Oryctolagus cuniculus: one gene and its partner. The protein of the gene in region 2 purifies or fractionates together with the protein of the main gene of each other region. This does not show direct contact. Links are inferred from orthologs where the notes say so. Each region holds a gene or a part of one and is shown on either strand. Other genes may lie near its edges.

Region 1 (4,799 bases), on a different chromosome or scaffold from region 2:
CGCCGGCCATGACGGCCATTGGAGGGTGAACCAACGGCAAAGGAAGACCTTTCTCTCTCTCTCTCTCTCTCACTGTCCACTCTGCCTGTCAAAAAAAAAAAAAAAAAAAAAAAAAAAAAAACAACGAATCTTAATAGATAATGGGACTAGGAATGGGAGAGGAAGGAGGAGGAGGAGTGGGAGTAGGGGTGGGAAGGATGGGTATGGTTGGTAGAATCACTATATTCCTAAAGTTGTACTTAGGAAATTTACATCCATTAAATAAAAGGTTTCTCTGGGAGGGGAAAACAAAAAAACAATTGTGGGTTTACTTGGTTCTGGACTCTGAATTCTTTCTCACTGATCTATGTATCTTTCCTTATGTGAGTACTACACAATGGACTTGATATCTGTAGCAAGCTTTAACATTGGAAATTATTAATTCTTTTTCAGGATTTTTTGTCTATTTTGGAGTCTTTGTATTTCCATATGAATTTTAGAATCAGCTTATCAATTTCTGCCAGAAAACCAGCTGGGATTTTAATGGAGATTGCACTGAACATATGGATCAATTTGGGGAATATTATTATCTTAAAAATACTTAGTCTTCTGGGGGCCGGCACTGTGGCTTACTTGGTTAATCCTCCTCCTGTGGCACTGGCATCCCATATGGGTGCCGGGTTCTAGTCCCAGTTGTTCCTCTTCCAGTCCAGCTCTCTGCTGTGGCCCGGGAGTGCAGTGGAGGATGGCCCAAGTGCTTGGGCCCCTGCACCCGCATGGGAGACCAGGAGGAAGCACCTGGCTCCTGGTTTCAGATTGGCGTAGTGCTGGCCGTAGCGGCCATTTGGGGAGTGAACCAACGTAAGGAAGACCTTTCTCTCTGTCTCTCCTTCTCACTGTCTATAACTCTACCTGTCAAATAGAAAAAAAATACTTAGTCTTCCAATCTGTTAACATGGACTGTCTTTTTATGTATTCACATCTTTCTTTGATGTTTTGTTGTTGCTATTGTACATGTTTAACTACTTTTGTTAAACTTATTCCTAAGTATTTTATTCTTGTTGATTTAATTTTTGAATGGAATTGTCTTGTTAATAGCATTCCTGGATTCTTCCAGTGACTTTTTAACACAGTGATATTTATTCTTTGTTACTTGATTTTTTTTTCCCTCTCAAAGATCCATCAATCTTACATAGTTCTGTGAGTAAAAAGAAATCTGACTCTACCACTTGCCACTTAGTCAGAGACACAAACAAGTTGGGAATTGGCCATGATACTGCAGAATCATCTCCACTCCTTGTCAAAGATGTCGTTTGTGAAGATGATAAAGGAAAAATCATGGAGGAAGTAATGAGGACTTATGTAAAACAACAGGAAAAACTGAACTCAATTTTGCAAAAGAAGCAACAACTTCAGATGGTAAAGTTGTTATTTAAATGATAATTCATTATGAAAAGATACTTTTGCACATTCTCAGAGGAGTCAAGATATGTTGCAAATATATGTTAGATTGTTCAGTTTCACACTGATAGGCAATTTTAATACATTTATAGAGAAGATATTTTTCAATATAACTGTTGATATATAGAACTAATACGAATTTTATATATTTTCTGACTTATTTTTTCCTGAACTAAAAGTTTTTTTGTTTTTTTTTTTTTGAAATTTTTAACCTGATGGAAATAAAATTGTATTGTGATTCTGTACTTACAGGAAGTGGAAATGTTGAGTAGTTCAAAAGCTATGAGGGAACTCACTGAAGAACAACAGAATCTGCAGAAAGAACTTGAATCTTTGCAGACTGAACATGCTCAAAGAATGGAAGAATTTTATGTTGAACAGAAGGACTTAGAGAAAAAATTAGAGCAGGTAATGAAGCAAAAATGTACATGTGACTCAAATTTGGAAAAAGACAAAGAGGCTGAATATGCAGCACAGGTAAGAATTACTCAGTTTGTATAATGTGCCCTTTCAACATGAATGGAAAGTGTTACTGCTCTGTTAAAGAAATTACTTTTTGTCAAGCTCATTCACTAGGCTAGATTTCAATGTAGATAATTCTGTTAAACACAATTTTATGCTAGATTGTCTATGATGATTTTTTGACTTTTATTGGTTTATTACTTTAAAGTTTATTGGATTTCTATAATTTATTTACTTAAATTGTAAATCTAGCTCTCTGATGATCAAATATTATTTTAATAATATATGCTTTCAAATCAACATATTAACAAATAACTGTTGCCTACTCTATTCAAAAGCACTGAAGCAAAAATAAATAAGTAAATCCTTTATGTTAATAGTTGCTCACATTTGAGGGAAGATGTACAAATATTAGCTTGAACAGGTTGTAACAAGGATCTAGTAATGCACAGAAAATAATTAAAGTGCTGTAGGTGTTTTAGGTGTTTATTCCTCTTGATCCTTTGCTTTACCTTCAATTTAATGTCATGTTGAATGTCAAGGTAATAGTATTAGATACTTAAAAGACTGTGGTATGCATGAAATAGTTTGTTTTGTAAAACATAATGTGAAAGTAGGTCTTTGCTGTGGTATAAGATTAAATGGAAAAACAAAACTAAATGAATATTGACACAGCCTTTTAAATCACACAGCTAGCAGAACTGAGACAGAGACTGGACCACGCTGAAGCTGATAGGCAAGAACTCCAAGATGAACTCAGACAGGAGCGGGAGGCAAGACAGAAGTTAGAGATGATGATAAAAGAGTTAAAGCTGCAAATTTTGAAGTCATCCAAGGCTGCTAAAGAATAGGAACTGTTAAAGAGATCATCTGTGTATACTGACAGGGTTTTTTTGTTTATTGCTTGCTTTGGTAATAGAATTCTGAACAACTTATCCGCATGACAATAGCTAGGCATTCTACCCATTTGTAGATCAAAGAAAGTGAAGAGATTATATATTAGTACATAAATTTTTACATTTTCCAAATGAATGAAAATGTAGGTTTCTTTGTATTTTTTTTTCAGCTTAGTAACAATATAGGATTTCAAGTAGTAGATAACCTGCCTATATTTCTAATGTGAATTTAACAGTTGTATACTTTTTAAAAGCTGCATTATGTGATGGGAAATAGCTGTGGTCAATTTTGTTATCCATATTTCAGACTCAATTTTAGATATAATGGTGGCATTATATTTCAAATATATACTATAGAACTATTCAAGGAGTTGAATCTGCATTTTTCTTATTAACACAATCTCCTTTATAAGTGATATATATACTCATTATTATACACAGACATTAGCTTTTACTTTGTTCAGATTGTGGAATGAATTTCTTCAATCCTCAGTTCTCTTTTAAATGTCTCCTAAGAGGAATTTCATTAATGAAGGAATAGCATAACCCATGGGTGTCATTGGAAAGAGTAAGATGTTTTGTTACGCATTGCTGCTAAATGTAAGAAGCAGTTGTAATTTGTTTTTCAGGTTTAATGTGGTTATATTTAGAAATTTTTTACGCTGTATCTTCAGAAAAATAATGATTTCTGAACTTTTGTTTATGTTGTTAATAGTGGTGTGAAAATAATAATGTTGAGAAGAATTGGTGTCATTGATGTACATCAGTTTCTATAGAATCCACAGTCCTTCTGTACAGGTTTTGTATGTAGCTATGGGTTGGAATGAAATTTATATAATGGATTTGTTTTCCTTTAAATTGTAAAATATTAAACATATTGAAGGTTATTTTGGACTTTTGTATGTTAAATGTTAAGTCTTACCAAAAATTTGCACGAATGGACCATTTTCAATTACTACTTAATATCAAAATCAGGAATTTACAGTCAACTGATAGTGTATGATAGCTTTGTATAGGAGTTTAATTATCTGCTACTAAAATTTTTAGATAATTTTTAGTTTACAAAAGAATTCCATAGTTTGGGAAGAGGCAACATCTTCTGTACTTTTTTTTTTTTGCACAGAAAAGTCTGTCACTCTTTAAAAGCAAATTTCCTGTTAATTCTTGGCTTAAAAGATAATAGAAAAAAAATTGTTAGTATGCAGTTTTTTAAAGGAAAGTTTCCTGAAACCACCAGTAGTTGACATTATTAACCCCATGAATTTTGTTTTTCATGCTTTCTGACAAGGTTCTGTATGAAATTATTACAAGTGAACTAGAATGAAAGTTGTGTGCTATGTCCATTGTAGAAGGCAGGTACTCTAATGTTGGTAGAACTTAAAAAAAAAAAAAAATCACATAGCTTATCATTAACCAGTTATTTTCAGATTGTTCTTAATGGTACTCATATATCCCAAAAGAATTTCTATAGTTCCTAAAAGGGAACTTTACTAAACAGAGTATGATCTAAATGTGTATTTTCTACTTTTCATTTCAATTTTTACTATATTTACCCTGTAATTTAATTTATTGATTCTTGGAATCTCAAGATGGAACAAATGTTGAAAATGCATATCTCCCTAATATAATTTATTTAGACCTTGCAAAAAAATTACACTTATGATACACTTTTATTTTAGTTGTAAATTAGTTGTGTAGTAACTCATATTTTTGGAAGGCAAAATCAAGTACCTATAGTTTCATTTAGTTTTCTAATTCACTTATGTTACTTATTAAATGATAAGTTCTGCTTATGTTACTTATTAAATGATAAGCTTTCTTATCATTTATGTTACTTATTAAATGATAAGTTTACTTGTGTCAATCCAAAACTTCTAAAATAACTTGCTTAGCCTTTGAAATACATTATAAAATTCTAAGCAGTGTCTAAATACTTTTGAATTATTTTAAACTCTTTATTTTTGTAGTCCTTAACTTAAAGGAAACTTGCCATATGATACT
Region 2 (5,389 bases):
GAACAGTGGTTCAACTGAAGTGGACATCAGAATCACCTGGAGGACTTATGAAACCATCACTGGTCCAAAGATCTGAGAATCTGCATTCCTAACAAGGTCACAGATGATACCGATGCTTCTGGTCCAAGAACGCCCTTGTGTGAACCTCCAGAGGGGTCAGCCACAGTGTGTTAGGAGAGACAGAAAAACACCATGTAGAAAAAACAGTACCATACTCATCACTGATTCAGAGCCACCAGAGAAATAGTGAATTAATCCACCAGCTTTGGTTCTTCAGATCACAGATTATTATTCAATAATACCTTCAATAATGCATTTTTGAAGCATTTCACAGTTACAAACAAAGCATTTTCACATTCATTTTTAATTTGACTTAGTAAGTGATTGTGAATAACTACTAGCTACATCTGAGAGACAAAGTTAGGGAAACAGTATGAGCCTCTGTTAAACAATTAGGTGGCAAAACTACGACCACTAACTCCATCCAACCCAGAGTTCTTTCCACAGAGCTTGCTCTCCTTTTTTCAAGAGCAAAGCAAAGGATACACACAGGAGTTCATACTGACAAATTATTTTCTAGACTTCCTACCTAAAAACATGGTAGTTTCCAGATTGTTTTAGATACTGGCTAGAAATCAACATCACTTAAGAACAACAGTATTTAGTCCTTTCCACTTACTTCTTCTCCCAGCTCAAAAACAAAGGTGGAGAAATGAAGAGAACGTATGGGACTATATTCTCTCATACATAAATTTCAGAAAGCCAATTTCATAACCTCAGTTCCTCAACCAACACAATTTGCATCTTGAGTTCCCTCTAAATTGCTCACCTAATCCAGGTTCCCACAAGGACACTGAATCCCACGTGTCTTATTATGCTCATGGGACCACGACCAGCTATCCTCTCTACACCTATTACCACTTAGTGTCTCCTCCATTAAACACAGATCTTTTTTCTTAACATTCTTATCTGCATGTCCCAATAACAGCTCAAACCCAGAAGTGAAGGTATTATATCCTCTCTCCACTACAGACACCTGCTTCTGTGCCTGAATTCTTTGCTTGCACTAACAGCACTGTCAGCAAACAAGAAACCTAGAACTCGGTCTACACACCAATCTCAGTTAGCCCCTCCATCTCCATTACTAACAATAAACTAGCAGCCATTTCACTAGTAACTACTGTATATGAGTCACTTTACATATCTTATTTCACTTCATTTTCTCAATAATCCCATGAGCAATATACTTTTTGTCCCTGTTCACAAATGAGAAAACTGAGGTGAAGAAAAGTTAATCTGTCCAAGTTCTAAGTAGAAAGTGGCGAAGAAGACACCTGAACTCATTTTGATGTCTCCCTGACATCAAAATGCTTCCTTCTGTAATGCCTGGCATCAGACCTCTCCTACCCAATCCAAATGACAATTTCCAATCTAGGTTGCTGCCAAGGTTCCCCTAACTGGCCTCCCTGCATTCTTTCATCTCTCAACGACTTCAGGTGATCTTTGTAGATCACAAATCTGACTTTACCCTTTGGATAGAGAAGTCCTTTGGGAACGCCTTGTACAGGAGACACTGCACAGGACACATCCCAACCCCTCAGTACTGTGCCAAATTTGCATACCTGCTTAGAAACTTCACTTCTGTCACATGTTTACAACAAAGTCCACCACGTTATTGTGATATTCGTGTGATTCAATGAAGAAACTTTCAAGTGCTCAATAATGAACTGTTATTCCAGAATCCCACCACTGCTGGAGTACTACATAAAAGACATAGTACATAAAAGACCTTACCAAGAAAAATTCCCAAATACTGTATTCTGAAGTCCAAAACACATCTTGTCCCAAGAGTTGCTGGAAAAGGATGTGGAACTCCTTATCCACGCAGCTGATCAATGCAATCTACTGTCCACCAGAGGTCTTGCACAAGGTGGACGCACCTTGTACCCTCGATCCCCTCCACCCAGTGAGGCAGGCAATCACCCTTCAGGAAACCTGCTCCAGGCCTTCCTTTCCTGGGAAGTTTCCCTGACTTTCCCTCCATTTCGCCACAGCCATGATAGTGAGCGCCCACCTCCACTGCTGCAGGCTACAGTTTCCCCTGTTAAGACTGGGAAGGGGGTCCTAAGCCAGCATCACATCCAGTCCCAGCAGCACCCAGAACGCTAGGGGTTCCTTAATGTACAATGAACTGAAACAAATGCATGCCCAGCTCTATCTGACCCTCAATCTCAGTCCAAGTTCATTTCTGCTCATCCCCAAACCTTACTCTTGTCCCTAACCATGCAGGTCCCTCACTGCTATTCTCATCTCCTGAGATGCTCCTTCCCAATGCCATCTTAAAATTCTTTTCCATCAAGAGCCTTCTCTTGGCTCCAAGTTTCCCAACGTCTTTTAGCCGCTTGCATTTAAACCGCAGTCCTCTTTGCTCCAAACCGGGCAACGGGCCACGTCCCCTCCCTCCAGTGCAATCCATCCTCACAGCCCTCCTCTCTTTACCTACTCCACCACCACCACCACCTCTCCCGGGCCGGGCGCCCGTCCACCCTGAACGCTGGCTCTGCTGTCCGGGTCCAGCTTGCACATCCCAAACCTCCTTCGCTGTGTCCCCTCCCCCCAACCCCGTCTCACAGCCGGCTCCCTCCCTTCATCCCCCTCCTTATCTCTCGCGGTCCAGCTTCTCTGGAAACTGTCCCAGGGGCCGTGTCTTTCACTTCGCCCACCCCTCAGGATCGCGCAGGTCCGGGCAGCCCCGAGCCCCAGCACTTCGGTCCCCAGATCCTCCTGGGCTCCGCAAATGCCCCGCGGCCCAGACGTCGGGCCGGGCCTCCGGCTCACCTTGCTGGATGTCGCCGTTGCTGCCCCCCGGGATGGGCACGCTGAGCTGGCGCTCCGGCTCCGGCAGGCAGCGCAGGCAGAAGGAGTGAAGACAGGGCAGCAGCTTGGGCTCCGCCTCACGCCGGCTCTGCAGGCTCTGCTGACACACGGCGCAGGTGTCCAGAAGCGAGGCTGGCGGTCCAAGAGGCGGCCCCGCCGAGGGACCCGGAGCAGGGGCTGAGGCTGGAGCTGGGGCCGGCGTCGATACGGTCCCCCCGGGAGCTCCAGAGCCCACTGAGGCTGCAGGAGCCGAGGCAGCCTGAGCCGAGCCCGAGGAGGCCGCGGCCACCCCCCCGTCGTCGGGCCCGGCCGCGCCGCCCTCCGCGCCGGCCCTGCTGCCTTCCTCCTCCTCCTCCTCCACCAGCACCGCGGCGAGAGGCGGCTCCGCCTCCTGCGCCGCGGGCCCGGCGGCCCCGGCAGTTACCGGCGCGCTGCCGCTGCCCCCGCCGCCGCTCTCAGCCTCGCCGCCGCCTTTGTTTTCCGCCATGTTTTCCTCTTTGAACCCGCCGGACCGCCCCGCGCCGCCCGCCGCCCGCGTCGCCGCCGCCGCCGCCCCCAGCCCCAGCCGCAGCGAGAACGGCCGCCGAGAGCGAGCAGGCGAGCGAACCAACGAGAGCGCGCGCGCACGCGGCGCCCCCGCCCTCGCGTCGCGCGGCTGAAGAGGGCGGGCGCGGCGCGCGCACGTACGCACGGACGTCCTCTGGAGGGAGGCGGGAACTCGGGGCGCGGGCGCGGGCGCGGAGTCGTCCGCGACGCTCGTCCAGACGTCTGGGGCTGGGGCGTTGCGTCAGTGCCGCGGACCTTTAGCGCAACAGGCGCTAGCCTTTAAAAGCCAGAGGCCGTGGCAACCTGTCGGCCTTTGGCGGATCGTGCTGCTGAGTTTGGCCTCAGCTGTGGTGCGGAACGAGGGGCGGACTAAGCTGGACGGGTCGGAGGCCGCGGCTGTGGCTGCCCCAGCGAGCGTCTCCTCCGAAGCTTCTGCAGCGTGATCGGACGCCAGGGCCTCGCGGTTCTTGGTGCTGTGCGAGGCACCTTCTGCTGTTTGTGGCTCAGGGGAGCAGTAAGCCGAGTCTTTGGTTTTTTTAACCGGAGGTCTACCAGAAATAGGCTGAAAAGACCCGGTGAGGAAGAGACTCACTGTGCGGCTAATTTCCACTACTTAGTGTGATTCCGGGACGTTGCTACGTAGCCGAAAACCGGTCACCTCAGGAGCTTTTTGAAAAGCCACACCTCAGCCCAGAGTCCGGAAGTGGGGCAGAGGGCTGATTCTGATGCGCCTCAGGTTGCGGAGCCAAGATCTCACCTCCAGTGTGGTGGCCTCTGAGAGTCCCACTTAGTGTCCTGGGTGAGCCCGGTGACAAATGCCCTCCAGGTAGAAGCTTTCAGAAAGGGTTGGCCTTTTATTTGGGAAACAAGTGTTTCTGCAGAGCAGTGGCTGTTTGGGCGTGAGACGCTTGCACTTCTTTGGTCTTTATCTCTTGAGCTGGTCTAAGTCCCTAAACCATGTGCAAGCCTTGTTTATTTACTCACTCCAGAAGACTCGCCTCTATTAGGTGTCAGTGTTTTAGATACCCTGCGATTACAGCAGAGAGCAAAAGAGGCTCTCCCTGCCTTTAAAAGAGTTCACGAGCTAATGGTGCAAGGTTTGGAATAAACGAGGGTACTTCAGAAAGCTCTTGAGAAATGTGTATTATGAGAAAACCATGTGTGGATTGGAAATTTTTTGCACTAAACTGTCGCAGTTTCATTTTCCATGAACTTAAATTTTAAGTACCCTGATAACATGCGAGGTAAATGCCAGGAAGAAAAAGCAACTGGAGCAAAATAGAGATTGAGGGAGGCCTGTTGATAAGATGAAGGAGTCTCTCTTGCAGAACAGTGTTCAAAGTAGAGGAACAAATAGTGCAAAGGGCATGAGGCAAACGTATCCTTAGCTTATCAGAACAGCAACGTATCAACTTGGATGGAGTGGCTTGAGCAGAGAGTAGTGAGAGATGAGGAAAATTATTAAAGGAGCTAGCTTTTGTTCTCTAAAAGAATTTTGGAAAACTATTTCCCATCAAGCATTGTAATTTGATTTTAAAAGAAGTTTAAATAATTGCAAAGGAATGGGCATGTAGCCTGGTGGTGAAGATACTGTTTAAGATACACAAAGCCCTCGTATCAGATAACTGGATTTGAGTCTCCTAACTCCAGCTTTCTGCTACTGCAGATGCTGGGAGGCAGTGGAGATAGCTCAGGTGATTGGGTTCCTGGCGCTTGGCTTTGACCCAGTGCAGTCCTGGATATTGCAGGCATTTGGGAAGTGAACCTTCAGGTGGGAACTTGCACATCCTTGCCTGCTGTCTCTCTCTCTCTTGCCTCTCAAATAGTTGCAAAGTGTCATCTCTGATATTTTAATTATTTCAGTTTATGATAATCTAATGGAAAGGCCGGCGCCGCGGCTCACTAGGCTAATCCTCCACCTAGCGGTGCCGGCACACCAGGTTCTAGTTCCGGTCGGGGCGCCGGA

What was found.
Region 1: the proteins of TRIM33 (region 2) and SKIL purify together in Homo sapiens (affinity purification with western blotting; 4 studies listed by BioGRID and IntAct, with this or other methods). This does not show direct contact. The link is inferred for Oryctolagus cuniculus from reciprocal best matches to the Homo sapiens genes TRIM33 and SKIL.

The regions. Positions count from the first base shown.
Region 1 is NC_091435.1:109,896,133-109,900,931, reverse strand, and holds part of SKIL (ski-like protein), read left to right. Parts: intron 1-1,156; coding exon 1,157-1,398; intron 1,399-1,692; coding exon 1,693-1,917; intron 1,918-2,594; coding exon 2,595-2,753; 3' UTR 2,754-4,799. UniProt on the Homo sapiens protein: May have regulatory role in cell division or differentiation in response to extracellular signals.
Region 2 is NC_091438.1:55,851,558-55,856,946, reverse strand, and holds the start of TRIM33 (E3 ubiquitin-protein ligase TRIM33), read right to left. Parts: upstream 3,480-5,389; 5' UTR 3,365-3,479; coding exon 2,839-3,364; intron 1-2,838. UniProt on the Homo sapiens protein: Acts as an E3 ubiquitin-protein ligase. Promotes SMAD4 ubiquitination, nuclear exclusion and degradation via the ubiquitin proteasome pathway. According to PubMed:16751102, does not promote a decrease in the level of endogenous SMAD4.